Ovis aries: one gene and its partner. The protein of the gene in region 1 binds, or shares a complex with, the protein of each later gene. Links are inferred from orthologs where the notes say so. Each region holds a gene or a part of one and is shown in the gene's direction. Other genes may lie near its edges. The genes, in order: UBL4A and GET4.

Region 1 (15,474 bases):
AAGGCTGGATAGACTAATGATAATGGGGAGCAGCCTTCTAACTACATTTGTTCTCCTTGACCCCTGACACCAATTCTCATCCAGCTGGGAATATAAAAATGAAGGGTTCCTCAAGGGTAAACAGATTGTTTAGGTTTTCCATCCTCAATGTTCAGCTGATCCATCCCCCTTCTCTCTCTGGCCACTTTTACCCCATCCTCAGACAAGGACAGCACCACTGCTCCTTTGCAAAATTGCAGTCTTCAGCCTAGCATGTGCCCTCTCACCTGTGCCACCCTGCTTCCATCAGGACCTCTCAACCCCATTTGAGAGGGACAGTACAGAGTTTCTGGGATACTAAGTCAACACACACACAAAAGGCTTATGTCTTAACTGAGACTAAAGAACAGCCTAGAGCTACAGCTCTGAATGTTTCTTGATCACTGACATAAACCCTCTTGAGTGTGCACCCCACCATGTGTGTCTATCTGCTTACACATCACATGAATGTACTAATCTGAACTTTATAACACACAAATACAGTTCTCAATAAATAAGGCTAAATTAAAATTAATAGGTTTTTATTTAGATGATTACAGTTATCATTTGTTGGGAAAATAAAAATAGATATGCTACAGGTCTTTTTGGACATTCTCTACGATGTGTCTTAGGAACCTTCTTGGGGCAAGAACCTGGAACTTTGGGAACCACTGGCCTCCATCACAGCCCTGACAAGAGGTTCTTCCAGAGCAGTGGGTAGCTATTGTCCCGCTGCCTGACTGCGGTTGCCCAGCAACCTTTGGGAACATACAAATCTCCTTTGATTCTACACTTGTTCACTTTCTTCTCATATCCATGTTCTACACCCTCACCACCTTTTTGCCCTTCCTTATGCCATGTGTTTGCATTCCTTCTCCGTGAAACCTTAGGACCTTGCTGGTGGCCCCAAATAGTTTTGAAACATTCAAAAATCCACTGATCTTTCACAGGGTGGAAACAGGCGCTCGGTCATTGCTTGAACGTAGGAAGGTGGAACATGGCCGAGACTGGGTCCCAGAGTCTGGGTCCTTCAGAGTCGGCCCTCTGGCCACAGGGCTAGCGCCCAGAGTAGGCACGTGACAGAAACCCTGATTCCTGGGTCCCGCCACTAAGCAGCAGCTCCCGGGCGTCCTAGCTTGGCTAAGGGCTAAGCATATGTCCCACTGCCCCCAGAGGTCGCAGCGTGGTTGGGAAGGAGTGGGGTGCCTACCGGTACGGGTCGCCCTGGCAGCGACCACAGAAGACTGGGATACGCGTCTCGCTAGCCACACGAGACAGCGCCCAGCGCCAAACCACAGCGACCCGGAAGGCGGCCAGACCGGCGGGCACGCACGCAGACTCGTCGCTCCCGTGTTACGTCACATCCGGTCTAGGCCCGCCCCGACGGTGAGAGGTGAGGGGACCGCCGTGGGGTAGGAGGGGCGGGAGCGTGGGGCGGAGGCGGAGGCGGTGCTTCGTCGGGCTCCGGGCGGAGCCCCGGCTGGCAGCGCTCGCGGGCGTCCGCCGGCCCTGCAGGCGCTGGCTCCGGCGCCGTTTCCGGGCCGCCGAGGCAGGTGAGAGCCTCAGGCCAGAAGGGCGGTCGGAAGGCGACTTCTGGCTCCGGCCAGTTTCCTCCCTCGCTTGCTGTGGCGGCCGGGCGCCACGGAGAAGGGTCGCCGCCGGGCGTTCGTGCAGCCGCGGGGACCGGGAGTGGCGTGAGGGATCCCGGGGCCGCCCGGGCGAATCTCCGGCCTGCCGGCTGCAGGGCGCTCCTCCCCCTCTCCCTCCCTAATTTCTGCCCGAGCTCTGATCCGCCCTGTCCGACAACTTCCGGACTCCCAGGTAGGGAGGAGCCCCGGGTCAGCACTGCCAACTGCACCGACACCGAACACTTGGCCAGTGAGGGGAAAACCTGCTGACCCGGGGTACCCTCCCTCGTTTTGGGGCGTATCTGCCCAAACTCTCCTGGCACCTCAAGCAGAAATGGTGGGATCTGGGCCGGATCCCCCATACAGTGACTCAAAGCCACCAGCAGTACTGGAACGACGGGGTGCATGGCCATTCACCTCCTCTGCCTTCTGAACTGGTTCACACCAGACCGGTGGCTTCAGTCCCAGGTGCCTTTGTTTCTTCCCTGTGAGTCCCCTCCACTGTACTTCTGCTCCCTCTGGTTTTCCTGCCTCCCTCTTCAGCGGTGGGACCCAAGGCTGGATCAAGGCCTCCAGGGTAAGTAACCCAAATGCCAAGCCAGGAGAGGCTGTGGCATCCCAGGGTGGTAGAGGATGACTTTCCCAGGGATGAGCCTTGTGCTGAACCAGCCCTCCACCACCTACTTCCACTGCTCCCCAGTCTCAAATGAGACTATCCCCGATAGGATCTAGAGATGCAGGGGCCTCTTCCAATACTCGGACAATGCCAGGCATGAGTTAGTCAACAGTAAGGATGAAGAATTACTGTATCCTCATCTTGGTTGCCCCAGTTCCTGCAGGACAATAGGGTGTGGGCTGCCCAAATTGAGAAGTGGAAAGAGGCAAACGTCCTTCTTTCCCCTTGAGGCAGCCCACCCCTCTAGAAACACTCCTCAAGGGTAGTTCTAGGCTCTGGTAGGGGTCCACGTGGGCATGGGAGGAATCCCTGAACTCTGATCAGAGCCTCTCAGATGGCACAGTGGCTCTAGGAGCTCCAATTCTGGGCCTGCCAGGGGAGTGAAAGCTCTGACAGAAAGGGGAGAAACCTCTCAGTGGACACGTGGCCATGTCTGATCCCTTTCTGCTGCCCCTTCTGGCAACTTCCCTGGGGAGAGAGGGGACCTGCTTCCTCCCAGAACCTCCATCTTGCCCCTGTCAGCAGGTAGGTAGGCCAGATGGCCACACACAGCAGCACCGTTCACATGGCAGTGGTGAACATCAGCACATGGGGCCTTTGGCCCGGGGGTCACCCGCTGCCCACACCACTTTGCCAGCTGCTCTCTGCTGGTCAGATGACACTCAGATGCCGTGAGCTGGCCTGCTCTCATCAGGCCTGCTTCCTGGGCATCCCTGGGCTGTCCTTCAGAGATTTCCTCCTGGTTGTGGTACTGCCGCAACTGTGCCTCAAAGCAAGTGGGGCACAGGCTAGTGGTGACAAGATTGGGGCTGATCCCCTGGTGTCAGGCCATCTCTGAACTGTCAAAATCAGCCTGAATCAGCAGGCCGAAGGCAAAGTTCTACCTGTCCCTTCCCCTTCTGGGGAAGCTTGAGGTAGTTGTGACTGGGGAAGGGACACCCGAATGGCACTCAAGGGCCATCCCCAGGCTTGCAGCAAGGAACCCGGCTGAGTCTCCCAGCAGTGGGCTTCTCGGTCATGCTCCTGGGCTCACAGCTGCTCGCCCTCACCAGCCACCGCCATGTCCCTTCTCTTCTCAGGAAGAGCTCTACCATCAAGAAAGGGAGCCCAGCACCAGACCTCGCCCATGGACCCTTCTGAGGACCACCCAACGGCACCAGCAAGGCTGGTCTCCTAAGCCACAGAGGGCCTGCATGCCCCACCGTTGGGAAGGAGCCATGGTGTTTAGGAGTGGTGAAGGCTGCTCCCTGCAGTGGCCTGGCCCAGAAGGGGGCACTGGTTGCACGGGCCCCCAAAGCATGCTCAGGGCCACCCTGCTGCTTGTCAGCCTGCTGTGGGGGGCCCGGGGAACAGCCAGTGCCAGTCTCAGCCCGGCTCTGGGCCATCCCATGCCCCTGACCAGGGGCCGCTACCTGAGCATTGGAGATGGCTCTGTGATGGAGTTTGAGTTCCCAGAAGAGAGCGAGGGCATCATTGTGATCACAAGCCATTACCCAGGCCAGGGCAACGGGACAGGACCCAGCCCCATGCTGAGGGTCACCTCCCTGGACCCAGAGGTGCTGACCATTAAGAATGTGAGTGCTATAGCCTGGGGCGGCGGTGGCAGCTTCGTGGTAAGCATCCGCTCGGGCCTGCCTGGGATAGCCCCACTCCACATCCAGCTCACGGACCCCCGCGAGGCCCCGCCCAGGCTGATCGAAGAGCGGAGAGATTTCTGCATCAAGGTCTCACCCGCTGAAGACACCCCCATCACCCTCGGCACTAACCTGGTCCACTTCTCAGAGAACCCAATCCTCTACTTGCTCCTGCCTCTTATCTTTGTCAATAAGTGTTCATTTGGGTGCAAAGTGGAGCTCGAGGTACTGAAGGGGCTCTTGCAGAACCCCCAGCCCATGCTGCTGGGCCTTCTGGGCCAGTTCCTAGTCATGCCCTTCTATGCTTTTCTGATGGCTAAGGTCTTCATGCTGCCCAAGGCCCTGGCTCTGGGCCTCATCATCACTTGCTCGTCGCCCGGCGGCGGGGGGAGCTACCTCTTCAGCCTCCTCCTCGGAGGGGACGTCACTCTGGCCATCTCTATGACTTTCATCTCAACGGTGGCTGCCACCGGCTTCCTGCCGCTGTCCTCAGCCATCTACAGTCGCCTGCTCAGCATCCATGAAACACTCCATGTGCCTGTTTCCAAGATCCTGGGGACCCTGCTGTTCATTGCCATCCCCATTGCAGCAGGCGTGGTAATCAAGTCCAAGCTCCCCAAGTTCTCGCAGCTGCTGCTGCATGTCATCAAGCCCTTCAGCTTTGTGCTGCTCCTGGGTGGCCTCTTCCTGGCCTACCGCATGGGGGTCTTCATCCTGGCAGGCGTCAGGCTGCCCATCGTGTTGGTGGGCTTCACAGTGCCCCTGGTCGGCCTCCTGGTGGGCTACGGCCTGGCCACATGCCTGAATCTGCCAGTGGCCCAGCGGCGGACTGTCAGCATCGAGGTTGGGGTGCAGAACAGCCTTCTGGCCTTGGCCATGCTGCAGCTGTCCCTCCGCCGCCTCCAGGCTGACTATGCCTCCCAGGCCCCTTTCCTTGTGGCACTTAGTGGCACCTCGGAGATGCTGGCCTTAGTAATTGGCCACTTTATCTATAGCAGCGTGTGCACCGTTCCCTGAGGCCCCCGGGTCAAGCTTTCACCAGGCACCCCCAGCCCCCAACCTCCATCAACTGTCCCCACCATTCTTGTGTACCAAAGGCCTTTAGTTCTCATGCACTATGCACTCAGAAAAAAAAAAAAATCCAGGCTTATTTTTTTTACTCGTTTTTTATTCTCCAGCTTTCAGTGCCAAAGAGGCCATGCTGAGTTCTGTAAGCGGGCACTGCCCAGAAAATATATTTCAATAAAACAGAAGCAAGCTTGGGTATCATGCTGTCTTTGCCCTCTGAGGCCTGCGGGTCGGGGAAGGAAGGGCGTGGTGTGGCCAGGTAGGTGTGGGCCAGGATGGAGGGCTGGCTTGGCGACACAGTGACCTCTGGCCAGATTTAGCCTTCCTCGCCCCTGCATCACCTCTGAGAGCTGTGTATCTGTTCTAGAAGAAGCAGTGGGAAGGGCAGAGGCCTGACTCCCCCACCAGATCCCAAGCTCAGTTGCTTTTCCACAGGTGAAGTAAAAAAGAGGCCGGCGGGTGGTGAAACGAGCTCGGCGGGGCCGGGTCTTCTGCAGGCTCCTGAGAGGCAGGGGATGGGATGGGCATCAGCGTTGACCTGCTCTGCCCACGGGCGGTGGCGCGCGAACTCCCGGCCCGCCGTCTCCCCGGGCCCAGCTCCCCAACTCCTTCGAGCGAGCCCGACTGGTCCCGCCACCCTTTTCCACTCTCCGCGGGCTTCTGGGCTCCGTCGCCCCGGGCTCCGCGGAGGACAGTCCAGGTTGTGGGGGGAGGGGCCGGCGGGGCGGGGCCGCGATGCCCGGCTCGCCCCTCGCGATGCTTCCGGCGGCGGCGGGCGGTTCCGGCGCGCGCCCGGGGCGGCGGCGCGCGGCGGCGGACCGTTGGGGTGCGCGCCGGCCCGAGTGGACGCCTCGGCGGCCGCCATGCAGCTGACGGTGAAGGCACTCCAGGGCCGCGAGTGCAGCCTTCAGGTAGCATCGCCGGGCTGGGTTGCGCGGTCAGCCCCGCGGGTGCGGGATCGAGCCGCGGGAAGGGACGGACCCGGCGGGCTAGCCGCCTCGGGAGAGCCACCCTCCGCGCGGGCCGCGGCTTCACCCCCCGCCCACCTTTCTCGGCCGGGACAGGTGTCGGAGGACGAGCTGGTGTCCACGCTGAAACATCTGGTCTCCGAAAAGCTGAACATCCCCGTCCGCCAACAGCGGCTGCTGTTCAAGGGCAAGGCCCTGGCAGGTAACCAGGAAGAGGGGACGCTGGGGGAGACCCGCGGGAAGCCAGGGGACGGGGCGTCCAGCCCAGGCCCGGGCAGCAGTGTAGGTGGAGGGGGCTCTGGCTAGGTGACCCCCACCCCCATCCCGGGAGTTCACCGCTGCGCTTCGCCTAGGCTCTCCGAGGGTCAGTGCGACCCTCTCTCCCTCTCTCCCTCTCTCCCTCTCTCCCTCTCTCCCTCTCTCCCTCTCTCCCTCTCTCCCTCTCTCCCTCTCTCCCTCTCTCCCTCTCTCCCTCTCTCCCTCTCCCTCTCTCTTTCGGACAGATGGGAAAAGACTCTCCGATTACAGCATCGGGCCGAATTCCAAGCTCAACCTAGTGGTCAAACCTCTGGAGAAGGTGTTGCTGGAAGAAAGCACTGCGCGGAAAACGGCCGAGGCCCCAGCCCCACCGCCCGCCGCCTGGCCGCTCATTTCCAGAATCCTGGCCCAGCACTTCAGCGCCGCCGATGCCAGCAGAGTCCTGGATCAACTCCAGAGGGTGAGAAGCGTGGCCCAGGACCTCTGCATCCTGCCCACCTGCCTCTGTCCCAGCGGGCCCCCCCGCCCCAAGCCACACCCCTGAATCCTTCTGGCTTTCTCTCTTCAGGATTATGAGCGGTCCCTGAGCCGCCTGACGCTGGATGACATTGAACGTTTGGCTGGCCGCTTCCTGCACCCCGAAGCGACTGAAGCTATGGAGAAGGGGTTCTCCAAGTAGGATTCTCGGAGTGTGGGGAGGAGCCTGGCCAGGCCACAAGCTGCATGTAGCATTAAATGTCTTCTTGTATTGCAACTTGGCTCATAATACTGCCTGGCGGGTACTCGGGTACCTGTATCTGGCTCATGTTAGGTGCCAGGCCCCACTCAAAGCTCTTGACCCAGGTTGGCTCCCACATGTTGCACAAAAGGTGAGACAGCCGAGGCTCCTAGCGGAGAAGGCAAGGAGCCAGATTCTGAGTCCAGCCAGCTTCCAGAAGTACTTCAGGGTGAGAAGGAGAAAAGGGTCGTTCAGACGGGTTCTGAGGGGTGGCCATGGACATTCCAGGTTTAGCCCACTGAGGAGAAACCCTCGAGCAATACCTTTTCCAGGCCTGGAAGGGGAAGCAGCTAGCCCCTGATGCCCAGTTCTGTCACCTCATCCTTGACAGGTCCGGCATTGGCAAGAGGTCAGGTGATGGCCAGCCTTGGGCCCCCTTAGTGACTGCAACCAGTATGCACTCAAACGGAAGGCGGGCTGGGGAGTCTAGGATGTCACCCGACTCTGGGGAGTGACACGTAGGTGCCACGTTGGTCCCCAGCCTTCAACTCTGCTCAGTGAGGGCTGTTCTTGAGACTCTCTTAGTTTTCTTTAGCTCCAAAGCCTGGGGTCAGGAGTCTGTAGGCATCCTACTCCTGTGTCCCAGATACAAACTGAGGCCAAATTCTGAGTGATGGCCAAGCGTGGCCCAGAGACGGAATGTCCTGGCCCTTAGTGTCACAGATTTTCTCTGGGCACCCCCTTCTTTTCTCCTCCCAGACACAAGCGGTCCATGACCTTTAGAGATGACAGGTGATGGTCTCGAGGTGACTCGAGCAGGCCCCTGTACCCTTTGCCCATCCTCTGCCACATGTGGACAGGGCCTCCCACTGTGCACACCACTCACTGTCTGAGAGGGAACCTGGGTGGGGGCAGAAGCTGGGGGGTGGGTCGTAGAGATCGTCTAGGCACCTGCTCCTCAGAGGAGGGCACCTGGGCCACTCTCCGGCCTGAGCCTCATAGGGTAAGTGCTGGGTCCCCAGGTGGGGAGGACAGACAGTGGCTCGAGGGCCAAAGGCTTTGAAGAGCAGGTGGAAGTCCATGGCTCCACCCAGGAGCTGGGCATGCACTGCCACAAGGTTCATGTGATAGACTTCCCTACGCTCTCATTTCTTTGTAGTCAGGAAATTTTATATTGACCTTCTCAGTCACACTAGAGGTGCATGTGAGACTTTGACCTGAAAGGAACTCTATTAGTTGAACTGCTTTTGGTTTCCCCATCGTTGATTTAACCATTACAGGACATAGGTTTAAGCAATAAAGAGAAGGTATTGGTTTGCGAAACTGAGAAGTCCAGGGGTATTGGCAGCAGATAAATGATTTCCCCAAATACCCAGTTTCTTCCTACCTCCCCTCTGCACTCTGCAGTGTCTGCTTCATCCCAGGCCTCTACCTCAGGATCAGAAGATGGCTGCCTGCAGCTTCCACCGAACCCCTCGGTCACAGCCAGCACGGAGCACCTTCCCGTCCTCTAGCGTAGCTTCCTCCTCAGCTGCCCCAACAAATAAACGCTGTCCCTTTTGGATGCTTAGAACCGGGTGCCTCCATCATTTTATCAGGGGCTTGGGTGGGCTGTGGAAGGGAGAGGGCAACTCTCAGGAAGGCCGGGTCCTCGGGGAGAGCTGACGCGTGCAGACGGGTCTTGTTGACAGACACAAGAGACAGCTGGTGAGTCTTGTGTGCCTCCCGACTGGGAGGTGATGACCCTGTGGTAGCTAGGAGCCATCTGCTGGGTGCAGAAAGTCATCGGGGAGCTCAGGCTGCCCATGGAGACAGGAGTGGTGTCTCCCAGGTGTATAGTAGGTGCCTTGCTGACAGGCCCGACAGGCTGATTCCGCGGCCCTGTGCAGTTTTCCACGACATTCCGGAGGGCCTGTGGACACAATGTCCCAGACACTGCGAGGATGCATGAAATTACTTCCCAGAGAGCATGACCGAAGAAAGGGGAGAGCACTGGACCTGGGGGAGACTTCACCAACTGGAGACACTGCAGAGGCCAAGGCACCTCTGCAGACGCAAGGCCACAGGGAGAGCTTGGAGTCAGAGGCCAGGAAGGCCCCTCCAGCCAGGGTACAGAGTGTATAGTGCTGCCAAGAAGCAAAAGAGGGCAGCCTCCTGTCAAGCTAACAAGAAGGTCATTGGTGATATTAGGGCAAGAAGTTGCTGCATGGTGGAGAGGGGGAAAGTCTTGCCAGTGACTGGAGACCCCTGGTTCCAGAAGCTTGTCTGGGCAGGAGTGTGTAGCTATGGGGGGTGGGGGTGGGGAGACAGGGAAGAGGTGCTGGGATGAGAGATGGGAGGCCTAGGTGGGAAGGGGCCACGGAGGCTCTGGTCTAGGCCTTGTGCCATCGCTAGAGGATAGAATGGCCACGGGCTGTGCCCTGCCTTTGTCCTTAGTTTCTGGGTGAGGGGGTGGCCCCATGTACACTGCGGGCTCCAAATGCTGCAGTATCCTTCCATAGGGGCTGGAATGTTTAAGGCCATCACTGTGCCCCTTGAGCCAAGTGTCTGCCCCAGAGGTGGGCACTGACCCCCCCATTACCACTCCCATCCCCTGGCCTGAGACCACTCTCTCCTCGTGGAGGAGCCTTGAAACAGCCCCACTAGGAGATGGCAGGGCGAGTGAAACGCCCAGCTGAAGTGGCCCCAGACAGCAACAGTCCGGCACCTGGAATAAGATGCCTGTGGTGCCACTTGCCATGGGCACACTGGCGGAGGGGTAGGCTCAGAGGAAAGCAGCGTTTCCTTTGGGGTGGGGCTTGCTGAGCTGGAAAACGCCCAGGCAAAGATCAGCTGCATGCACAATTTGCTGGTGCCTTGCTTTCCACGCAAGCCTGGACAAAAGCCAGCCTTACCAGGTCCAATAGATCTGACAAGTGCTGCTGAGGACGGGTCAGGCCCTGCCAGCGGGAGATGCAAGGGCCATGGCGGCCTCTGTGCCCTGGGCCTTGGAAAGCCTGCGGGAGAGATGCTCACCCCTGTCACCCTGTCCCCCTCCAAGGCCCAGCCAGAGCAGCCTCCCGGAGCTACTGGGGACCTGCCCCAGGCCACCTCTTCTGCCTGCCCTCTCCACCTCTTCTGCCTGCCCTCTCCAACTTTTCCTTCCACTTCCCCTAGCTCTGGGCTTCCCTGATAGCTCAATTGGTAAAGGATCCGCCTGCAATGCAGGAGACCCCGGTTCAGTTCTTAGATCAGGAAGATCCCCTGGAGAATGGATGGGCTACACACTCCAGTATTCTTGGGCTTCCCTGGTGGCTCAGCTGGGAAAGAATCAGCCTGCAATGAGGGTGACCTGGGTTTGATCCCTGGGTTTGGAAGATCCCCTGGAGAAGGGACCAGCTACCCACTCCAGTATTCTGGTCCATGGGGTCGCAAAGAGTCAGACACGACTGAGCAACTTTCACTTTTACTTTTCACCTGTGCTGGCTCTCCCCCAACACACCCATCTCCTACTTATGGGGGACACTGAGGCTCCATCCCCAGATCTCTTCTCCGGATCTCTCACTCCCTGGGGAACCTGTCTGCCTTCATTGCCATTTCTGTGCTTTGTGTCCATGTCTGCAACTTACCCCAGCCCCATCTCTGAGCTTCGGGCCATGGCTCTGGGTTGTGACTCTGAAGCCGTGTCCAGCTTCCCTGCAGACACCTCCTGTCACCCCTTTAGTGCTTGTGATGTCGGTGGCACAGGGACTGGAAGACACAGTTCCTTCCTGCCTGGCACCCATGTGCCCAAGGTGAAAGGCAACACCACTGGGTCAGGCTTTTGATGACAGGAAATGGGAGGCCACCTTTGCCTCTCCTAACTCTCCCTTGTCCATGGGCCATCAAACAGCAATGCTTTTGGAAGAGTCTAGGGCACTGGCCTCATAGCAAGTCCCAGGATCTGGATTCGCCTCCTTCCTTGCTGGTTAGATTCAGCTTAGGCCTTCTGAGGAGAGTGGCCACCCAGGGCAGGCTGTGTTCCTCCCCACGCAATGTGAAGGAGGCTCAGTTTGATCACTCAGTCTCTCCCTGGTAAAGCTGCCTTCTCCGTTCCTAACACACAAGTCATCTGGGTGATACCTTGAGACCCAGGGATTCTCTTTTCCCCAACAACCTGCATCTCATGGTCTTACCACCCAAGGATGCTCCCCATTTGGATCAGTTCAACTGGATGAATTGCACAGGTGGCTGCAAAATGGTGGATTTTCTTGGGTTGTCTTGCTTTCTGCAATTATTAGTTGGCATTTCTCTACAAAGAGCTTTCCCTTTTCCCTGCTGTCTTTTCTTAGTTATCATGGTGGACGCTTTTTTTTATTCAACAACTTAGAATCTAAGTTGTCTAAGTGTCATTTTGGGGACAGTTTTTACTGCATTGTAGCATGCATACAGTAATGGGCATAAATCATCGATATACAGCTCAACAGAATTTCAAAGTGAATATACCCATGTGTGCATCCCCTCCAGATTGAAATATATACATAATGTCTGCCTATATATTACGTTCCCTGGTGCCTCCTCTTCAAAAGGTTTAATAACCTTTGGGGTGCTCAAATTGTTCTAGCTTTGGTTCTTTCCAGTTGGCTCCCATGTCTCTTTCACATGTCCCATTCTTTTCCTTTTCAAGCATATCCTTCCTTTCTGACACTACAAGGTGCTCCAGGCTCCTCTTGTATTTTTCCCTGACCCACACCTAGAATCTTCCATTTCTCGAGCTCTGGTCCCTTTTAGTGGAGACTGGTGTTGAGAACCAAGTTCTGGGTACAGGGAACATTCTTTGCTACTGGAGTGACATTGCTTCTAGACTCTCACTGGACAAAACTAGGCAATCTATTTTTTTTTTAAGAATTCATAATGTGATCCCTAATTCCAGTCTGGTAGCACAGTTCTATCTCAGCTTCCCTCATTCCACACTGATGTTCCTAACAACAGCAAAAAACAACCGTATATGGATATGTTTACTCATCTCTTCTACTGGATACAGTCTACCTTGCAGTATACTCAAAGTAGCTTCAGAATCACCTCAGGACTATCATTACTAACAACACACATACTGAGAATAAAGCCGATTCTTTCTGTCCTTAGAATATATCCCATAAAGGGAGCACCGTCAGAGAGTGAGTTTGAAAGTTTCGTGACTCATTTTCTCTGTGTGGTTGTTACTAACTGGATATGCAGTTAGGCTGACTTGCTTTTGTTTTTATTCTGTTTTAGCATTTTTTCCCCTCTTTCAAATGTATTTTTGAATATATAAAATATTTTATGGTTTAAAGTCAAAACTACACAAAAAGATATTAATATATTACAAGAAATCCTATACCCATCTCAACCCCCTATCAGTGAGAATTTTCACTAGTTTCAGGGTTCTCCATCCCCTTTAGTTTTTTTCCCAATAAGCATGTGTATCTATGAGTGTGTGTGCACAGGTCGTTTGCACTCAGCTTTTTTCTTCCCCCCACATAACAATGGAAATCATTTCATTTTTCTTTTTATTTCATTAGAGATTTTCATTGTTTGGTTGTTTTTTTTTTTTTTACTGCTGCTTGGGAATATATTGTCATCCTGCTTATTTAACTTATATGCAGAGTACATCATGAGAAACGCCGGGCTGGAAGAAGCACAAGCTGGAATCAAGATTGCCAGGAGAAATATCAATAACCTCAGATATGCAGATGATACCACCCTTATGGCAGAAAGTGAAGAGGAACTAAAAAGCCTCTTGATGAAAGTGAAAGAGGAGAGTGAAAAAGTTGGCTTAAGGCTCAACATTCAGAAAACTAAAATCATGGCATCTGGTCCCATCACTTCATGGGGAAACATGGGAAACAGTGTCAGACTTTTATTTTGGGGGCTCCAAAATCACTGCAGATGGTGATTTCAGCCATGAAATTAAAATATGCTTACTCCTTGGAAGGAAAGTTATGACCAACCTAGATAGCATATTGAAAAGCAGAGACATTACTTTGCCAACAAAGGTCTGTCTAGTCAAGGCTATGGTTTTTCCAGTAGTCATGTATGGATGTGAGAGTTGTACTGTGAAGAAAGCTGAGCACTGAAGAATTGATGCTTTTGAACTGTGTTGTTGGAGAAGACTCTTGAGAGTCCCTTGGACTGCAAGGAGATCCAACCAGTCCATCCTAAAGGAGATCAGTCCTGGGTGTTCATTGGAGGGACTGATACTGAAGCTGAAACTCCAGTACTTTGGCCACCTCATGTGAAGAGCTGACTCATTGGAAAAGATCCTGATGCTGGGAGGGATTGGGGGCAGGAGGAGAAGGGGATGACCGAGGATGAGATGGCTGGATGGCATCACCGACTCGATGGACATGAGTTTGGGTGAACTCCAGGAGTTGGTGATGGACAGGGAAGCCTAGCGTGCTGCAATTGATGGGGTCGCAAAGAGTCCAACATGACTGAGCGACTGAACTGAACTGAAGTAATTTTGTGCATATGTTGTTTCATATTTGTGAAGTAACTGGTACATGTGGCATTCCTAGGCCCAAGACACTGTCTGAGTTTTTGAGGGGATGAGAAGGGGGCAACAGAGGATGAGATGGTTGGATGGCATCACCTACTCAATGGACATGAGTTTGAGCAAGCTCCGGGAGATGGTGAAGGACAGGGAAGCCTGGCGTGCTACAGTCCAGTCCATGGGGTCGCAGAGTCAGACACAACGGAGCACACAGAATGTTGTTTCATCCAACAAGAAACAAACCACCTAGTGCATGAACTACATAGAAAAGGTATCAGAGACAATACAATGACAGTATAGAAGTGAACAAACTTACAATTTCAGATTATTAGAAATGAGCAACCTGAAATGGGCAAATGTGATGCACGGTGCCTGGGGGTAGTATGTTAGATTGGTGATCCCAAAGGCCTCTCAGAATTGACACTGGAGACTAGATCTTAATGACAAGAAGGAGCCAGCAACGGGAAAGTCTGGAGACAGTCTTCCAAAAAGAAAAAGTAAGTGCTAAGGGATGCGGGCAGGCCACCCTTGGTCAGGAGCAGAGAGAAGTCCCTAGAGGTTGCACAGAGTAGGGAAGCAAGAAGGTGGAGGAACCCTGAGCCGGGTCACACAGGACTTTTATAAGCTACAGGAAGGAGTTTGTCTTTGGTTTCAAAGACAACAGGAAACTGTTTTAGTAACTTTAAGCAGGGACATGATATGATGTGATATATATTAAAAATTAAGAACTGATTCTACTGTGGAGAACAGAATGTAGAGGAGCAAGCATAGAAGAAAACTAGTCAGAAAGCTGTTCAAGGGGCTCCCCTGGTGAAGAAAAAAAAGTGAAAGTAGTAGTCACTCCATTGTGTCCCACACAAGGCTCCTCTGTCCATGGAATTCTCCAGGCAAGAATACTGAAGTGGGTAGACATTCCCTTCCCCAAGGGATCTTCCCCACCCAGGGATCAAACCCGGGTCTCCTGCACTGCAGGCAGATTCTTTACCATCTGATCCACCAGGGAAGCCCCAGTGGTAGAGAATCCACCTGCCAATGCAGGAGACTTGGAAGCTCTGATCCATGAAGATCCCCCATGCCTGGGAACCACTAAGCCAAGTACCACAACTACTGAGACTGTGCTCTAGAGCCCACGCGCCCTACAGCCTGAGCTCTGCCAACAAGAGAAGGCACTGCAATAAGCCCGCTTGCTGCAACTAGACAAAAACCCTCACAGGAAGGAAGACCCAGCACAGCCAAAAACAATTAAATTATATGTGAAATATATATATCAAGTTCAGGGAGATAGGGTGGCCACCGGTGGAGACTAGCAATGAAGGGGGAGAGGGTAGGCTGATTCAGGATGGATTTCGAGGGGTGATCCAACAGGCTTTGATAACCTACTTCACCTTTATGCCCTTCCTTCTGATTACAAAGGAGGAAAACAGAAAACTAACAGGGCTATCACCATCAGAAATTTCATGTCACTTTAAAAACTTATTTTTGATTAAAAATGCCGTATAAGGTTACTGTCAAAAACTTGCAGAACAGAAAAGGGAAGTTAAAATCGAGTCATACAGTTTGTGAAAGGCCCGAGCTGTGGGAAAGAAAGAGTTAGTCGCTCAGTCGTGGCCGACTCTGTGGTTTAGTCAGTAAGTCGTGTCCAACTCTTGCGACCTCACGGACTGTAGCCCCCAGGCTCCTCTGTCCATGGGGTTCTCCAGGCAGGAATACTGGAGTGTGTTGCTATTTCCTTCTCCAGGGGATCTTCCTGACCCAGGGATCAAACCCGGATCTCTTGCATGGCAGGTAGATTCTTTACCCACTGAGCTACAAGGGAAGCCCCGAACTGAGGAAGGGAGATTCATTTCTCTGCGGCCAACGGAGATTCCCCTCGGCCGGCCGGCTCCACCAGACCTGTTTGCGCAAGCGCGCGGGGCGGGGTCGGCGCGCGGGGCGGGGTCGGCGCGCGGGGCGGGGTCGGCGCGCGGGGCGGGGTCGGCGCGCGGGGCGGGGTCGGCGCGCGGGGCGGGGTCGGCG
Region 2 (15,317 bases), on another chromosome or scaffold:
TGTTCTTACAGCAGCACTTTGTGCTGGCTCTGGTTGGATTTGCCTTTTATTACGACTCGGCCATTCTCTTTGTTTTGGTTATAATTAATATTTAATATTTAGACTTTCACTGAGCAGACTTTATAAATGTATCTGCAAGGCACTTAAAGTTACAGATGTTTTACCTTAAGAATTATTTAAGTTTTATTGGGTTAAGACAGTTTTTTGGTGTACCATAAATGTATTTTCAGAAAAAGACAAAATGATGGTGCTGACTGGTTTTCTGAAGAGTTTTATGTGCATTGCACAACAGTCCTCAAATATACGACAGCCACATACACTAGGGTTTTTTTTCACTCTTGTCAGAATTGAAACTAATGCCTATGCAGTTAAGTTGAATAAAATGTATACATATGTTTCATATATTACAGGATAAATATATAAATCAAAATTTCCTATATAAAGCTAAATTTGGGAGATGGGGTGGAAATATTTTGAATATTTATTTTTAAAGATGCGAGACAGGACTCTGTGCAATGTATTTTTGTAAATGCTTTTCAACATACTTTGGTAGAGCTTCTTTGCTGCCACCAAATTGGTAAGACGCTGCCGAAATGTTTAAATAAAGAGTTTTAACTTTTTAAAGCGCATGTGACGTTTCAGATGGATAATAAACAGTATGTTCTTTTCTCTACCTGCTTCGTCTCTGCCCCGGGCGATGAGGGGGACACAGTGCGTTGAGCGACCCCTCCTCCGACCCTTTCCGGCCGGGTCGCCTCTGCCGGGTCTGGGCCGGGGTCGCCGGGCAGCGAGCCTCTCGGCGCGCGCGCCCCCGCCCCCGCCGTGCGCGTGCCCCTGGCGGTGGCCGTGCGCGCGCCCCCCCGCCGTGCGCGCTCCCGCCGCAGACGCGTCTCCGCGTTTCCCACGGGCCCCCCGCGAGCAGTCAGCGGCGGGGCCGGGTGTCGGGCGCCGGGGCCGAGCGCTGCGCCCGGACCCCGAGCCGCCGGCGCCCCGCTGAACGGCTGGGAGCACGGTCTTCCCCGGACGGCCTCAGTGTCTCGGCGGCCGCAGCCGCGGCGGGGCGCGCCCTGCCCGCGCTCCCGGGCACGGGGCCGCCGCCGCCGCCATTGTGGCGCCGCCCCGCCCCGCGGTCACGTGCGCGCCCGCGCCCCGCCTCCGCGGCCGCGCGCGGCCCCTCGCGGGCCACCGTAGAGGGCACCCGGAGGCCGCCGGGACGGAAGCCGAGAGGCGCTGCCGACCGCGCCTGCGACAGCGTCAGCCCTGCGCGGAGCGCCGGCCCGATGGCGGCGGCGGCGGCGATGGCCGAGCAGGAGAGCGCCCGGAACGGCGCCCGCAACCGCGGCGGCGTCCAGCGCGTGGAGGGCAAGCTGCGGGCCAGCGTCGAGAAGGGCGACTACTACGAGGCGCACCAGATGTACCGGACCCTCTTCTTCAGGTAGGCGCCGCGCCGCGGCCGCCGCCTGCCGGGGCTCCCCGCCCGGCCGCGGAGCCCGGCGCCCCGCCCCCGGCCGCGCCCCATTGGCCGCGCCGCGCCGCCCCGCGCCGCCATTGGCCCGCGCCGCTGCCCGTCGCCTGGGCGGTGGGAGCGGGCGGCGGGGAGGCGGCCGGGGGCGGGCTGCAGCCCGGGAGCGGCGCCGCGGCCCCTCGCCCGCCCCCGCGGCCCCCGCCGGCGCCCGGGCCCGCGCACTCCGGCGCCCGACCCGGAGCCCCCCGCCCGGGACTGGAGCTCCCCGCCCCCGACCCGCGGCCCCGGCCGGGACCCCGGGTGGGCCCGAAGCCCTGGCCGAGAGTGCGGACGGCCCGGGTGCCGGAGCCGCCGCGGCCGCTCGCCCCCTCCCCCGCCCTGAGCGCCGTTGAGTCCGAAAGCCTCGCTGCGCGCCCCCCGGCTCTCCCTCGGCGCCCGGCCGCGAGGCTGTAGACAGGCTTCTCCTGCTGCGTCGCCCTTGCTCACCGTGGTACTGACCCGGCTGTTTCCGTGAAGCCGGTGTTTTTGTGGTGCGTGTGCGGCTCGCTGGCCACGTGCGGCAGTTGAGCTTCTGGAATGTGAGTCCCTCACAGGATGGGCCGTGAGCGCAGAGGAGAGGTCAGGTAGCTTCGGGAACTACTGCCTGCTCGGCCGCACTGGGTGGAACGCGATGTCGCTGTTGGGGTGGCCTCAGGGGCTGCCCGGGCGCCGCCTCGCTCGGTTCTGCTCGGGACTGCGGCGCGCCACACCGTTTCTGCGGTCACTGCCGCTGCTGCTGTGATTTCCTAGCTGTCTCTCTGCGCGTCAGGCATTGCTGTATATTACATAAATGCTGTCAGCCTTTAGGGTTCTTGCCAGAAAACACTTGGGCTATTTGTTAGCATTTAAAGATAATTTTAGAGGATTTAATCTGTTCTGCGGAATGTTTGTGTTTTTTTTTTCCAAACTGTCCCACGGCGGCAAATACTTTGCTGTGATGTTTATGGGCAGTAAGGTCTGCCTTAAAACATTTAGGCCTGGATATAAATTTTTCTTTTAACGGCGGGTTGAATCAGTGTCTTGGGAACTCTGGCAGTGCTTTCTGTTTTGGTGGTTGGTTGGTTGGGACGCAGTGCGAGTGAGCCTGCCTCAGATCGTATTTGGGCTCGGTGGCCCAGAGGACCAGGGAGCAGGGAGTTAATTGTCCTTCAGGGGATGAGTCAAAGGTGTAAGCAGGTTTAAAGTCTGTAACATGGAGCCTTCTGCCCGGAGCCCAGCCAATGAGATCTGTAGGATGGGAGCTCTGTAGCGCTTGAGATTTGCCTGGTGCTTGCTGTTCTCAGGGATTTGTGTATAAATATTTGCCCCAGTGATTAATCAGCAAAACTGGATCGTCCCAAAAATAAACACAGCGTTCCTTGTTGTGAGCCAGCTCTGCAGTCGCCGCTGTGCCAGGAGCGCGATTGTCGATTAGCTTTGAAGTGGCCTCCCTGTGCCCGAAGTGTGCTTTGTGGTGACCACCAGCCCTGCCTTGACTTGTATTCACATTTCTCCTCTGCTCAGTGACCTGTAACCCAGGACAACTTGCTAAACCTCTTCTCCACGTCTTGGCTTCCTCTTTGGTCTTTGAGGGGCTCCTACACGTGTTCAGGACTCCTGAGAAGTGAACGGTCAGCTGTGGACCCAAGCAGGGTGGCGTTAGTGGGCGTCCAGAGGGCCCAGCTGAGTCGGCCTGCAGGGCGTCATCCGTGCTCAGACCTGCGGTTGCAGTCCTGGCTTAGAGCTCTTTGTGGCTGGCAGCTTCCGAAGAAGTCAGCCTCACTCTTGTAATGACTTTTTATAAGTGCTTTTAAGCATTTATATAAATGTACAATTTGATGGGTTTTGACATATGTATTCACGCAAGAAATTATCACCAAAGTGCTGAAAATACTCCTCATGCCCCAGAGCTTTCTCTTCTGCCTTTAAGATGACTTTTCACCCCTGGCCCCCAGGCGTCCACTGATCTCTGTTATGATACGTGGGTTTGCATTTTCCGGGATTTTGTGTAAGTAGCATTGTATAGCATGTCCTCTTTTTATCTGACTTCTCAAGTTTCCTTAGCGTGACCGTTCGGAGGCCCACCCTTAACACGTGTCACTAGTTAATTATTGTTGAGTGGCAGCGGTTGCGGGGGCCGCATCGTCTCATCCGGTCACCTGTTGGATAAATTCACCTATCTGTGCTATTTTAATTCGCTTACACTGTGTCCCCCAGCAGCCTGAGGAGGGGGAGAGGAACTGGTTTGGATTTACAGGGTGTGTGCTGCGCGAGGGGGGCAGGAGCTGCTGGTTCCAAGGACGAGGGCGGCCGAGCTCCGTCCCAGGTGTTACGGGCACTCTCTTCAGCCTTCTCTCTGCCGGGACAGGAAGGGCTCAGACATGTCCATCTGCGGCGTGCAGAAAGCGCGTCAGGCTTCGGGGCACCTGTCGCTGCTGGGGGGTTTCCAGCCGCTGGCGGTTCTCCCGTGGGCAGGGCTGCCAGGACTGTGTGGCTGTGGTCACTGGGAACCGGGGCTGCTGCCCCAGGAACCCGGCCTGTCTGCCTCTCGGGCCTCCGGTCTCTCCCTGGCTTTTTAGGTGCTTGTCTCTAGCTGTGCTTCGGGGGAGGATCCGGAGCCTGTCGTGTGCGTGAAGCAGAGCCCGCTGTGAGCATCTGTGCCGTGGCCTGCAAGGGCTGGCTTTTCCAGAAGCCCGGCCCACGCCCGCAGGTGCCCTGGGTGCTGCCCGGGCTGTGGGTGTCTCCTCCTGGTCCCACCCTGTGCGCCGAGACTGAGGCTGCTGCTCCCGAGCCGGGTGCATAAAAGCCCTTTTCCGTAGTTGGTCCCGGCCTGAGCCCGAGGGCAGCAGGGCTCCCCTGTCGCCTCTCCTGCGCGCCTGCTGGCCGCGCACCTCTCGCATCTCCCACTCGGCTTGTCTGGGCTGGAACACAGGTCTGACCGGCTAGGCGGGTTTCGGGCCTGTTTGTCCGAGAGGAACATGTGGCCAGTGGGCCTGGTGTCCTGTGCTCAGCTCAGGCCTGACCCTGCCACCCTGGATCTCTGTCTTGCTTGTTGTGGAGGAAGCACCCTTTGTATTCTGTGTGGGCCTCATTGCCCATAGGTCCGCCTGCAGTTGGGAAGCCAGCTTTTCCCAACTCCTGTCCCCAGCGAGATGCCTTCCCGGTGGAAAGCACTCAGGGGAGGGGACGGCCTCGCAGCCCATCGGCCCCGATGCGTGGTCCTGGCCAGGTTCCCCTGCCTTTTGTCACGGTCAGACCTGTGTCTGAAGCTGGAAGTGGCCCTCAGCCCCTCCCTGGTCCCTCTGCTGAGACCCCTGCCCTGCACCAGGAAGGTGCTGCTGTGGTCGGAGACGGTGCCCACACGCGGTCACCAGACGGGGGTGGGGAGTGGCCGAGCTTAGCGGGCCTGTGTGGTGGAACCTGACGGCCTGCCCTCTCTCCCGCAGGTACATGGCCCAGAGCAAGCACGCCGAGGCCCGCGAGCTCATGTGCTCCGGAGCCCTGCTGTTCTTCAGCCACGGACAGGTGAGCCGTCAGCGCAGAGCATCCAGGGAGAGGGCTGGAGGGCGACCCTAGCGTGCCCGTGTCCCGCCTCGGTGCTCAGAACTGTTTCCTAGGTGCGGTCGGCCACTGGTTTTTAACTGGCAGCCAGAGCTGCTGGCCAGCCTCCCCGCCTTCTGAAAACTGGCAGGAGCCTCTCTTCCCACTGACCAGCCTCTCTAACGTTTTACAGCAAAACAGCGCCGCTGACCTGTCCATGCTTGTCCTGGAGTCTCTGGAGAAGGCAGAGGTCGAGGTGGCCGACGAGCTGCTGGGTGAGGCGGCCCGAGCCCCACCGTGCACGCACACACGCACGCGTGTACTCACATCTGCACGCACGCGTTCGCGTGCTCACACACTGAGGCCTGCACGGACCCTGGGGGGGTGGCTGTGGACACCCGCAGCCCGTTTCCCGCCTGCCCGCGCCGCTCGCGGGCCCCGCTGGGGAGGCGCCTGGTGAAGGCGGGCGGCGAGTGGTCGGGTGGCCCCAGGGCCCCACCACGGTGCCTGCCCCCGGGGGTGGTGGTTTCGCTTCTTTTAGATGCCCGGTTCAGAGCCGAAGCCGCGCGCGTGCCTCCGGGTCAGGCCTGTGTGCTGTCGTTTTGCAGAAAGTCTGGCCAAGCTGTTCAGCCTGATGGACCCCAACTCCCCGGAGCGAGTGGCGTTCGTGTCCCGAGCCCTCAAGTGGTCCAGCGGTGGGTCAGGGAAGCTGGGCCACCCCCGGCTCCACCAGCTGCTGGCCCTCACCCTGTGGAAAGGTAGGTGTGTTCGGGTGGCCGCGGGCGCTGGGCTCTGCATCCGCCACCCCCACCGGCCCGTCTGCACCCACCGCTCTCTTCTAAATGGGCAACCGCGGGCAGGGCGTCGCCGACCCATCAGCGCTGCGGCAGTCCTCAGGCCGGGTGGACACATGGCGGACACGGGCAGGGGCCGTCACACCGCACCGATGGGCGGCCTTGTCCGCCCCGGCCTGTGGCGGTTCAGAAGGCTTCGGCTAGAAGCCACTTTGCTCTGGACGCACGGGCCGGGCTCTGTCCGCACGGGCCGGGCTCTGTCCGCAGGTTGGCTGGGCCCGAAGGCCGCTCTGCGCCGCCTTGTCCGCCTGCGTGCCCAGCCTACCCGAGTCTGCGGAGCCGGGTGTGTGCGGCTGGCGCCTGCGCAGAGACCTTGCTGAGGTTGGGAGCTGTGTATCTCTGGTACACGTATATTAAAGATTTAAAGTTGAAGATCTGAGTATTTTAAGGGTCTCAAGCACAGATGGTGGGTGAGGTTGGCGGGACCCTGCGCACGTGGGAGGCTATGCTGAGGGGTGTTTGCAGGTCCCCCCTGTGATGGGCACCCCCCAGGGGTGTGTGCGCGGGGCCAATGTCCTGTGAAAGGGCTGTAGGAGCCCTGGCCCCCTGAGGTCTCGTGCAGCTGCTTGCCCGGGGCTGGAGGACGCTGGAGACTTGCCAGGTTTCTCCTCTCACCTGGAGGCTGTGAAAGCTCTTGGGGTTGGAGGGAGAGGAGACCCCGGAACTAGCTCGGTGCTGGAGGCGGCCAGGAGCTGGCTGTGACCTGGGGCTGGGCTGTGCTGGGGAACGGCTGGAAGGTGGAGAAGGCTTAACCCGAAGCAGTGGAGACTCCCCTGGAGGAGAGGGACCCAGTGTGGCGGGTGAGCAGGACCTAGGGTCCCTACCCTGTAGCTGGGTCTCAGCCTCTGTGCCACCGATCCCGGGTGTCCTGCCAGCTCTGTAGCTGCTGGGTGGTCTGGGGTTGGGGTTGGGTACCGTTGGCACCCCCAGCTGTGACGGTGGACAGTAGCTCCAGGCATCCCAGTGTAGGACTGAGTGGCTGGGGTACTGGGGTAGGAGCTGAGTGGCTCTGGGTGGGAGATGTTGGCTGGAAGGTGGGTTGGGGGATGGGGGCCCCTTCACAGCTCCAGTCCTCTACTGAAACTGGGCAGGCTGGGGCTGGGGTTACCCACCCAGAGGGCAGTAGCCAGTGTGGAGTCAGAGGCTCAGAAGAGCTGAGCAGCAGAGGACGGCTGGTCCCCAAAGAGCCCGCGTCCAGTCCTGGGTCCTCGTCAGGATGGCAGACGTGGGCAGAGGGCCCCTGGGCTCCACCCTGCGTGCTCCACTCCCGGGGGCCTCAGGTTCTGCCTTCCTGGCTTGCTCCCAGCTGTCCCCATGGTGGGGGCAGTCTGGCCTCTGCTGGGTCCACCGAGCAGGTGGCGTGCGCGGACGCCACGGGGCCCTGTGCTCACGTCGCGCTCACGCCCACCCCCCGCGCTCCGCCCGCAGAACAGAACTACGGCGAGTCGCGGTACCACTTCCTGCACTCGAGCGACGGCGAGGGCTGCGCCAACATGCTGGTGGAGTACTCCACGGCCCGCGGCTTCCGCAGCGAGGCGGACATGTTCGTGGCCCAGGCCGTCCTCCAGTAGGTACCCGCCTGCTGCCCCCTCCTCGCGTGTGGTGTCCCGGGGCCCCAGGCTGGCCTCTGGCCGAACCTCACGCAAGCACAGGTCTGAAGTCACTTGGCATCCCACACACGCCTCACGTCCCCAAGCATGACGCTGCCGCTGACCTTCAGGGGCTCCAGACCTGCCCGCCCTCAAATCAACTTGGACGCTTCTGTTGACAGAAGTACTTTTTACGCCTTAAGTTACTTTTTTGTTGCCGTGCATTTTGTTTTCCTATTTATCCGTCACATCTGGTTGGGAGGGAGTTACTCTTTTGGTGGGACACAGGCATTCACTGAATTTTCAGCGCCACGCTGGGATGTGAAGTGTCCGTATGACACGGGTCTTGTTCAGAGGCGGCTTGTCTTCCCGACGTCTCTTGGTCCAGACACGGTGATGGGGGGCCGCCCGCAGCTTCCCACCCAGCTCTGTGTCCCCGCTCTTCTGTCCCAGCTGAGTCTTCTCTTCTGAGTTGTTTGGACAATTTATTCTAAGGACGTTGTGGTACAGCAGAGTCGCTGGAGGCGGGAGCACCGCGTCAGGCCCACATGGTGGGGAGCTCACGCGAGGTGACTGGGGCCCGGCCTCTCCCCCCAGCGGATACACCGCTGCTGTGAATGAGGTCCACCTTCCCAGAGAGGACTTGGGTCGGCGGCCAGGCCTCGGGCCAGGCCGTGTCTCGTGAGCTGGGGGACAGGGAGCTTCGGAACCCCACCAGCACCACTTGTTGCCGAATCTGGACTCCGGGAACAAAACCAGTCCACCATCCGGAGCGCCCTGACCCCAGCTTGGCGGGTGGTGCTGATGTCCCCTGCGGCCTCTGCCCTTCCCTGCCCATCTGGCTGTGTTGTGGGCCCACGCTGCGCTGAAATCTGGCCACAGACACGTCCTCCACAGGGAGGAGGCCAGCGCTGGGCAGCATCCAGCCCAAGTGCTCGCCGGCAGGGCAGGCAGGCACTCGGGCTCAGGGAGCTGCTGCTCCCCTCTGCTGACCTTGGCCGGGCGCCCTCTGGAGTTAGTCCCCACGCTGTCAACCCCAGCTCCCTGCGCCGGGCCTGGCAGGCACCTTAGGCGGGCGGAGCAGGGCTGTGGGCCCCCATCTCCTCCTCCTGAGGATGTGTGCAGCCGCTGATTGGGACGTTTCTTATTTCCAGGTTTCTCTGTTTAAAAAACAAAAGCAGCGCCTCGGTGGTGTTCACGACGTACACACAGAAACACCCGTCCATCGAGAGCGGGCCTCCTTTCGTGCAGCCGCTGCTCAACTTCATCTGGTTTCTGCTGCTGGCCGTGGACGGGTGAGTGTGTGCGTAGGGGCGGTGCTTGTGTGAAGGCACTGGAGGTGTGCAGAGGCATGTGTGTGGAGGCGTGTGTGTGTGTGGAGGCGTCTGTGTGGAGGCGTGTGTGTGTGTGGAGGCGTGTGTGTGTGTGGAGGCGTGTGAGTGTGTGGAGGCGTGTGTGTGTGGAGGCGTGTGTGTGGAGGCGTGTGTGTGGAGGCGTGTGAGTGTGTGGAGGCGTGTGAGTGTGGAGGCTGTGTGTGTGTGGAGGCGTGTGTGTGTGGAGGTGTGTGAGTGTGGAGGCGTGTGTGTGTGTGGAGGTGTGTGTGTGTGTGGAGGCGTCTGTGGAGGCGTGTGAGTGTGTGGAGGCGTGAGTGTGTGCAGCCGTGTGAATGTGTGGAGGCGTGTGTGTGTGGAGGCGTGTGAGTGTGGAGGCTGTGTGTGTGTGGAGGCTGTGTGTGTCTGTGGAGGCGTGTGTGTGGAGGTGTGTGTGTGTGGAGGCGTGTGTGTGGAGGCGTGTGAGTGTGTGTGGAGGCTGTGTGTGTGTGTGTGGAGGCTGTGTGTGTGTGTGGAGGCTGTGTGTGAGTGTGGAGGCGTGTATGTGTGTGGAGGCTGTGTGTGTGTGGAGGCGTGTGTGTGCAGCCGTGTGAGTGTGTGAATGTGTGGAAGCATGTGTGTGGAGGCGTGTGTGTGTGGAGGCGTGTGAGTGTGTGGAGGCGTGTGTGTGTGGAGGCTGTGTGTGTGTGGAGGCTGTGTGTGTGTGTGGAGGCTGTGTGTGTGGAGCGTGTGTGTGTGTGAGTGTGTGTGTGTGTGTGGAGCGTGTGTGTGTGGAGGCGTGTGTGTGGAGGCTGTGTGTGTGGAGGCGTGTGAGTGTGTGGAGGCGTGAGTGTGTGGAGGCGTGTGAGTGTGTGGAGGCGTGTGTGTGTGGAGGCGTGTGTGTGGAGGCGTGTGTGTGGAGGCGTGTGTGTGGAGGCGTGTGTGTGGAGGCGTGTGTGGAGGCGTGTGTGTGGAGGCGTGTGAGTGTGTGGAGGCTGTGTGTGTGTGGAGGCGTGTGTGTGGAGGCGTGTGTGTGTGTGGAGGCTGTGTGTGTGTGGAGGCGTGTGAGTGTGTGGAGGCGTGTGAGTGTGTGGAGGCTGTGTGTGAGCGTGTGTGGGCGTGTGTGTGGCGTGTGTGTGGGCGTCGGCCGTGTGTGCTGTGAGTGTGTGGCTGCGTCTGTGTGTGTCAGTGGTGTGTGTGTGTGTGGACTGTGTCGTGTGTGTGTGGAGGTGTGTGTGTGTGGCGTGTGAGTGTGTGGGGCGTGAGAGGCTGTGTGTGTGGTGAGTGTGTGCGTGGGGGTGTGGAGGTGTGTGGTGTGGAGGTGTGTGTGTGGGAGGCGCGTGTGGGGCGTGTGAGAAGCTGGGGGTGGGGGGTGTGTGTGTGGAGGTGTGTGTGGAGGCGAGTGTGGGGGCTGTGGGGGAGCGTGAGTGTGTGGAGGCTGTGTGTGGCGTGGAGGCTGTGTGGAGGCGTGTGGGGAGGATGGTGGTCCTGGGTGTGCTGCTGCTGGGGGAAGCTCACGGTGTTCACGGTGCTGTGGGGAGTACCAGCTGGGGGATGGCGAGGTGAGGCGGGGAGGGCTGTGGGAGAAGCTGCATGGGCGTGGGGGGTGGGGAGAAGAGGGAATGGGGAGACGCTGGGGGGCGGTGGGAGAAGCTGGAGGGAGGCTGGGGGAGACGCTGGGGAGACCCTGGGGGGCGGTGGGAGAAGCTGGAGGGAAGCGGGGGGACTGGGGGAGACGCTTCCGGGCGCGGCCCGGCTCAGTGCCCGCCCCCCACAGTACCTCGACAGGATAGGACAGCTCTTCTTCGGTGTGCCGCCCAAGCAGACGTCATCCTACGGAGGCTTGCTAGGTGAGGGGGCTCACGGGTGGGGGTCCGTGGGTGCGGCTCAGAGCCGAGTGCGTCCGGGGCCCGACGTTGGCAGGGGGGGTGCTGGCCCATCTCCCCGCCCCCCGGGAGCCCCGGCCCTCCGCCTCCCGAGCAGAGCGGTAGGGCCTGTTGCCCCCGGTGAATGCTCTCCCCGGGGCTCCTGTCTGTTGACCGCAGAGTCAAAGCCGGCTGTGCTTTGTGGTAAAACACACGTTAGATGCCGCTGCCCACCTCAGCCGTGCCGTGGGGCCGTGAGGCTGCAGTGGGCACTGGTCCTGGCCGAGCCCCAGCCCTCCTCTCGGTCCCTGCGAGCCTGGCGCCCCCCGGGGCCTCACCTGGTGGAGTCGGTGCCTGTCCGGTGCTGGCTGCGGCCGGTGCCGTGACTCCCTTCCTCTCTGAGGCGGCGTGTGTCCCGTCGCGCGCGTGGACCGCGTCTTGTTGACCTGCCCGTCATCAGCAGGCGCGTGGGTTCTCCCCCTTGGCCCGCTGTGAGCGTGGCTGTGCCCGCCGTCTCCGTGAGGTCTTGCTTTCGGTGCTTCTGGCTGGGCCTGTGCGATTGCTGAGCACACGCCCTCCGCCCACGGCGGCTGCTCCGCTCTGCACGGCCGCCGGCGGGGCGGAGGGTCCGGGGCCTGCACGGCCGCCTGCCGCCAGCACTTGCTGCCGGCTGCTGGCGGCGGCGTCGGGGCGCGGGGGCGCCGGACCCGCGCTGCCGGGGCTGCCGCGTGTTTGCTCAGGGACCGAGCACCCCTCTTCCGTGTGCTCGTCGGCCGCTGGCTCATGTCGTTTCCCTAGCTCTGAATCTGTACTGGCTACCAAGTCCTTACCAGACGCATGAGCTGCGACTATCTGCCCCCATTCTGTGGGTTGGCTTTTTTTTAAGCAGTCTTACGTCCAAGCAAGACCAAGAGGAAGGTAGGGAGGTTTCCCACCAGTGCCCCTCCGCCGCCGGCGCAGCCTCCCCGCCTGCAGCGGGTCCACCTGTCAGGACGCCCCTGCTCGGACGGCCTCACCACCCGGGGCTGAGGACGCCAGCGTCACTCTGGTGTCTGTGAGTTCGGACAGGCGCCCGGTAGCGTGCACACGCCGTTACTGTGGTGCTGCCCTGAAGACCTCTGTCCGCCTGTTCTCGCCTCCCCTTCCTCGGCACCGTTTTACTCCCTGGAGTCTGTCTGAGATTCTTAATTGGAGGGTGACGCTTTACGGCGCCGCGCTGGAGGGTGACGCTTTACGGCGCCGCGCTGGAGGGTGACGCTTTACGGCGCCGCGCTGGAGGGTGACGCTTTACGGCGCCGCGCTGGCCTCTGCCGCCCGTCGCGCGAGCCTGGAGCGTCTTTTGACACGAACGTTAAATTTCCACCCTGTTTTCTGCTGCTCTTCGTTGCTGGTGCCTTTGGAGTCATTTCCAAGCCCAGCGTCGCGAAGCGGTTGCCCTGTGGTTTAAGAGTTTTGCTGGCTGAGGCCTCCATGCGGTCCTTGGTCCGGTCTGAGGGGACCTTTGACGTGGTGCTTGCGCGCGCGGCCGTCGGCCTGGTTCCTGGGTGTGCGGGTCTCCAGTTTCCCCAGCACCGCGTGTTGGAGGACTGCCCTTTCCCCACCGAGTGGGCGCATCCCGCTTGCCCAAAGCCTTTTGCCGCAGATGTGAGGGACCCTTTCTGCGCTCGCTCTCCCGCTGGCTGGCGCGTGTCTTCCGCTCGGCCGCCCTGGTCTCTGTGGTTTCTAGGGCGCGTCTGTCTCTGCGCCCCAGTGGGCTGTTCCTTGCCCGCCAGGCTCCTCCGCGGGATTCTGCAGGCAGGCACACCGGAGCGGGTCGCCGTTTCCTCCTCCAGGGGATCTTCCGACCCAGGGGTCGAACCTGCGTCTCCTGCGTTGGCAGGCGGGTTCTTCACCACTAGCCGCCTGGGAAGCCCAGCCTCGATGCCTGTAGCTTTAGAGTAAGTTTTCAGATGAAAAAGTCCAAGACCTTAGTTTTGTTCAAGATTGTTTTGGCTGTTTGAGTCCCTTGAGAGTCCATGTGAAATTTAGGATGGGTTTTTTTATTTCCACAAAAAATGTTTCGGGGATTTGAGATTTCATTCAGTCTGTTGACAGCTTTAGGTAGTATTGACATTTGAACAATATTAAGTCTTTTTGTCTAGGAATATGGGATGTGTCTTCACCTACGTATCTTTCAGAAATGCTTTATACTTTTTCTGTCGTGAAATCTTTCACCTTCTTGGTTCAGCTAGTTAACTGTTTTATTCTTTTTGATGCTATTGTAAATAGAATTGTTTCTGTTTATACTCTTTGGAAATTTTTACATGTAAAATCATACCACTTGCAGACAGATAATTTTACTTCTTTTCAATTTGTAATTCCTTTTATTTTCTTGCCTAATTGCTCTGGCTAGAACCTCAAGTTCAGTTGACCCTTGAACACGTGGAGAGGTTGGGGTGTTGATTCCCTGAGCAGCCGAAAACTGGTGTGTAACTTAGAGTTGGCCGGCTGTTCATGGGCTCAGCCAGCTGCAGTGTGAGCATAGGAAACAAGCCCGCGTGTGAGTGGGCCGCGCAGTGGCCGTGTTGAGCAGGAGTGGGGCAGCGACCCTTTGGTTTCAGGGCAGGAGCTCCAAGCCTGTCACCGCTGTGGTGGCTGCTGTGGTCCACGTCTGGCTTTCATCACATCCTGGCGTGAGATGGTTTCCTTTCTGAGTGTGTTCATGAGCGTCTTGGCTTTGTCAAGCGCTTTGTCTGTAGCCATTGATGACCATTGGTTTCCCTTCACCTGTCAGGCTGTGTCACTGGCTGGTCTCCACATGTGGAGCCTCCCTCCACTCCAGGAGCAGAGCCCGCCTGGCCGTGGCGCTGAGCCTTTCCCCAGCTGCCGCTCTGGGTCTGCGAGTGTCCTGCTGAGGCGTTTGCGTCAGTGTTCATGAGGGATGTTGGTTTGTAGCTTTCTTTCCCTGCAGTGTCTGTTCTGGCTCTGGCACTTGACGGGCAGGTGGTCCTAGCTCAGCAGTTTCACCAGGGAAGCTATGAGGTTCTGGGATTTTCTTTGCTGGAGCCTGACTCCAGATCCGTCCCCTGACCCTAGAGCGTGTTGGGAGTGTGTGTCTTGGGCACTGGCGGGTGCGGGCCCGGACGCTGCCTCTCCGGGCCAGGCCTCTCCCTGCCCCGCTGTCTGTGCTGCCTCTGTCTCCCGAGTCCTGGCTGCCCTGCCCTCCCGCAGGGCAGGGGCCAGCTGAGTCCTGCACTCAGACGTGGGTTTTGGCATCGCTAGCGCTCTAGGCTTCCTCTTGAGCAGATGAAGCGCCTTACAGAGTCCACATGTGCCGGGCCCGCCACTGTCCCCGGGGGACATGCAGGCCAGGCAGCCGGTCTTCTCAGCTTCCTTGGGGGGAGCTTCGCACACAGGCAGACAGCCCCTTCTCCATGAACCCCCAGCCCCTGTCCTTTGCTGTGGAGCTGCCGTGGGCCTCAGGGCCCCCGGCCCGGGAGAGCAAGGCCCTCGGCTCGTCCCCTGCCCGATAGGCCATCGCAGGGCGAGCCTGCCCCATGGGGATCTGCAGGGAGGCTGGGGTGAGCGTTGTCGATCGGCGCTGCCACAGGGAAAGGTCTCCTGAATCATCTGAGCAGCTGTTTCCGCTTAGGTACAAGCCGGACTTGACCTGTAGGCGGAGTGGTGTGGCGTCAGCGGCGGGGTGGGGGCTGCTGCCCTTTTCTGGGCTCTCACCGCCTCCAGTCCTCCCGCCCCTCGGGCCTCAGCAGCAGCCCTGCTTTTCCGGCAGAACCAGTCCCAGAGTGCCGCCCTGGGGCAGGCTCACCCTCGGGGCACCACACACCCTTTCTTCCTTGCTCCCTTGTGTGGTTTGGGCTCGGGCACTTTATAAACTTTGCTCTTTGTATCGACGGAGGAGTGGTTCTTTGGATAAAAATTAGGTAAAGTGGCCCAACGAGGCCCACAGGCGGCCACAGTTGCTTTAGAACCGACACATCTCCTTTATTCCTGGGGCACTGGAGAGGTAACCTGCGAGTGAGTGAACCCGCTGCTCGGTCCCCGGTGCCCCAGGCCTGTGCTGGTGGCCGTGCCGGGCCCCCGCAGGCCCCCCGGGGCGGAAGGAGGGCGTGGGGCAGGAGGAGGGCGCAGGGTGGGGCCGCGGGGTGGGACCGGACTGGGGCTGACAGTGCCGCGCCCCTTCCAGGGAACCTCCTGAGCAGCCTCATGGGCTCCTCGGAGCAAGAGGGCGAGGACAGCCAGGACGACAGCAGCCCCATCGAGCTCGACTGATGCCCGCGGAGCCACAGACGCGGCGGGGCCGGGGCGCGTGGGGGCCCGGGCCGGGCCGTGTACCTTGATGACCCCAATAAAGCGCAGGCCCTGCGGCGCCTCCTCCCGGCCCTCGTGTCTGGTTTGCTTGGGGAGGGCTCGGCGGGGCGGGGGACCTGGCCACCGTGCCCCAGGGACGGCTGGGCAGCCAGCGCCTGGCCGTCAGAACAGCTCTCGTCAGGAGACTGCGGGACCCCCAGCTTCGTGGGGCAGCGTTACCACTGGCCGGTGATGGAGGCCGTGACCTGACGGCTCGGGTTTACACAGGTGAGCGGCCCGGGACGAGCAGGCCTGTGCCTCACCGACGCTGCACCAGATGCCCGGGACGGTTACAAAAGGGGAAACACTTTATTTTTTCACAATTATAA

Evidence for each region.
Region 2: UBL4A (region 1) and GET4 share a complex: the UniProt entries of both Homo sapiens proteins name them as parts of the BAG6/BAT3 complex. The link is inferred for Ovis aries from reciprocal best matches to the Homo sapiens genes UBL4A and GET4.

What each region holds. Positions count from the first base shown.
Region 1 is NC_056080.1:79,949,257-79,964,730, forward strand, and holds UBL4A (ubiquitin-like protein 4A), read left to right. Parts: upstream 1-5,844; 5' UTR 5,845-5,887; coding exon 5,888-5,935; intron 5,936-6,088; coding exon 6,089-6,194; intron 6,195-6,495; coding exon 6,496-6,710; intron 6,711-6,818; coding exon 6,819-6,925; coding exon of another isoform or gene 6,926-6,929; exon of another isoform or gene 6,930-7,359; coding exon 7,360-7,483; 3' UTR 7,484-7,486; exon of another isoform or gene 7,487-8,375; coding exon of another isoform or gene 8,376-8,487; 3' UTR 8,488-8,541; downstream 8,542-15,474. Other genes in the region: SLC10A3 (P3 protein), read left to right, coding at 3,516-4,973. UniProt on the Homo sapiens protein: As part of a cytosolic protein quality control complex, the BAG6/BAT3 complex, maintains misfolded and hydrophobic patches-containing proteins in a soluble state and participates in their proper delivery to the endoplasmic reticulum or alternatively can promote their sorting to the proteasome where they undergo degradation.
Region 2 is NC_056077.1:42,173,635-42,188,951, reverse strand, and holds the start of GET4 (Golgi to ER traffic protein 4 homolog), read left to right. Parts: upstream 1-1,222; 5' UTR 1,223-1,280; coding exon 1,281-1,435; intron 1,436-4,929; coding exon 4,930-5,008; intron 5,009-5,216; coding exon 5,217-5,298; intron 5,299-5,631; coding exon 5,632-5,781; intron 5,782-7,305; coding exon 7,306-7,444; intron 7,445-8,620; coding exon 8,621-8,760; intron 8,761-10,281; coding exon 10,282-10,316; intron 10,317-10,511; coding exon 10,512-10,626; intron 10,627-14,824; coding exon 14,825-14,910; 3' UTR 14,911-15,317. UniProt on the Homo sapiens protein: As part of a cytosolic protein quality control complex, the BAG6/BAT3 complex, maintains misfolded and hydrophobic patches-containing proteins in a soluble state and participates in their proper delivery to the endoplasmic reticulum or alternatively can promote their sorting to the proteasome where they undergo degradation.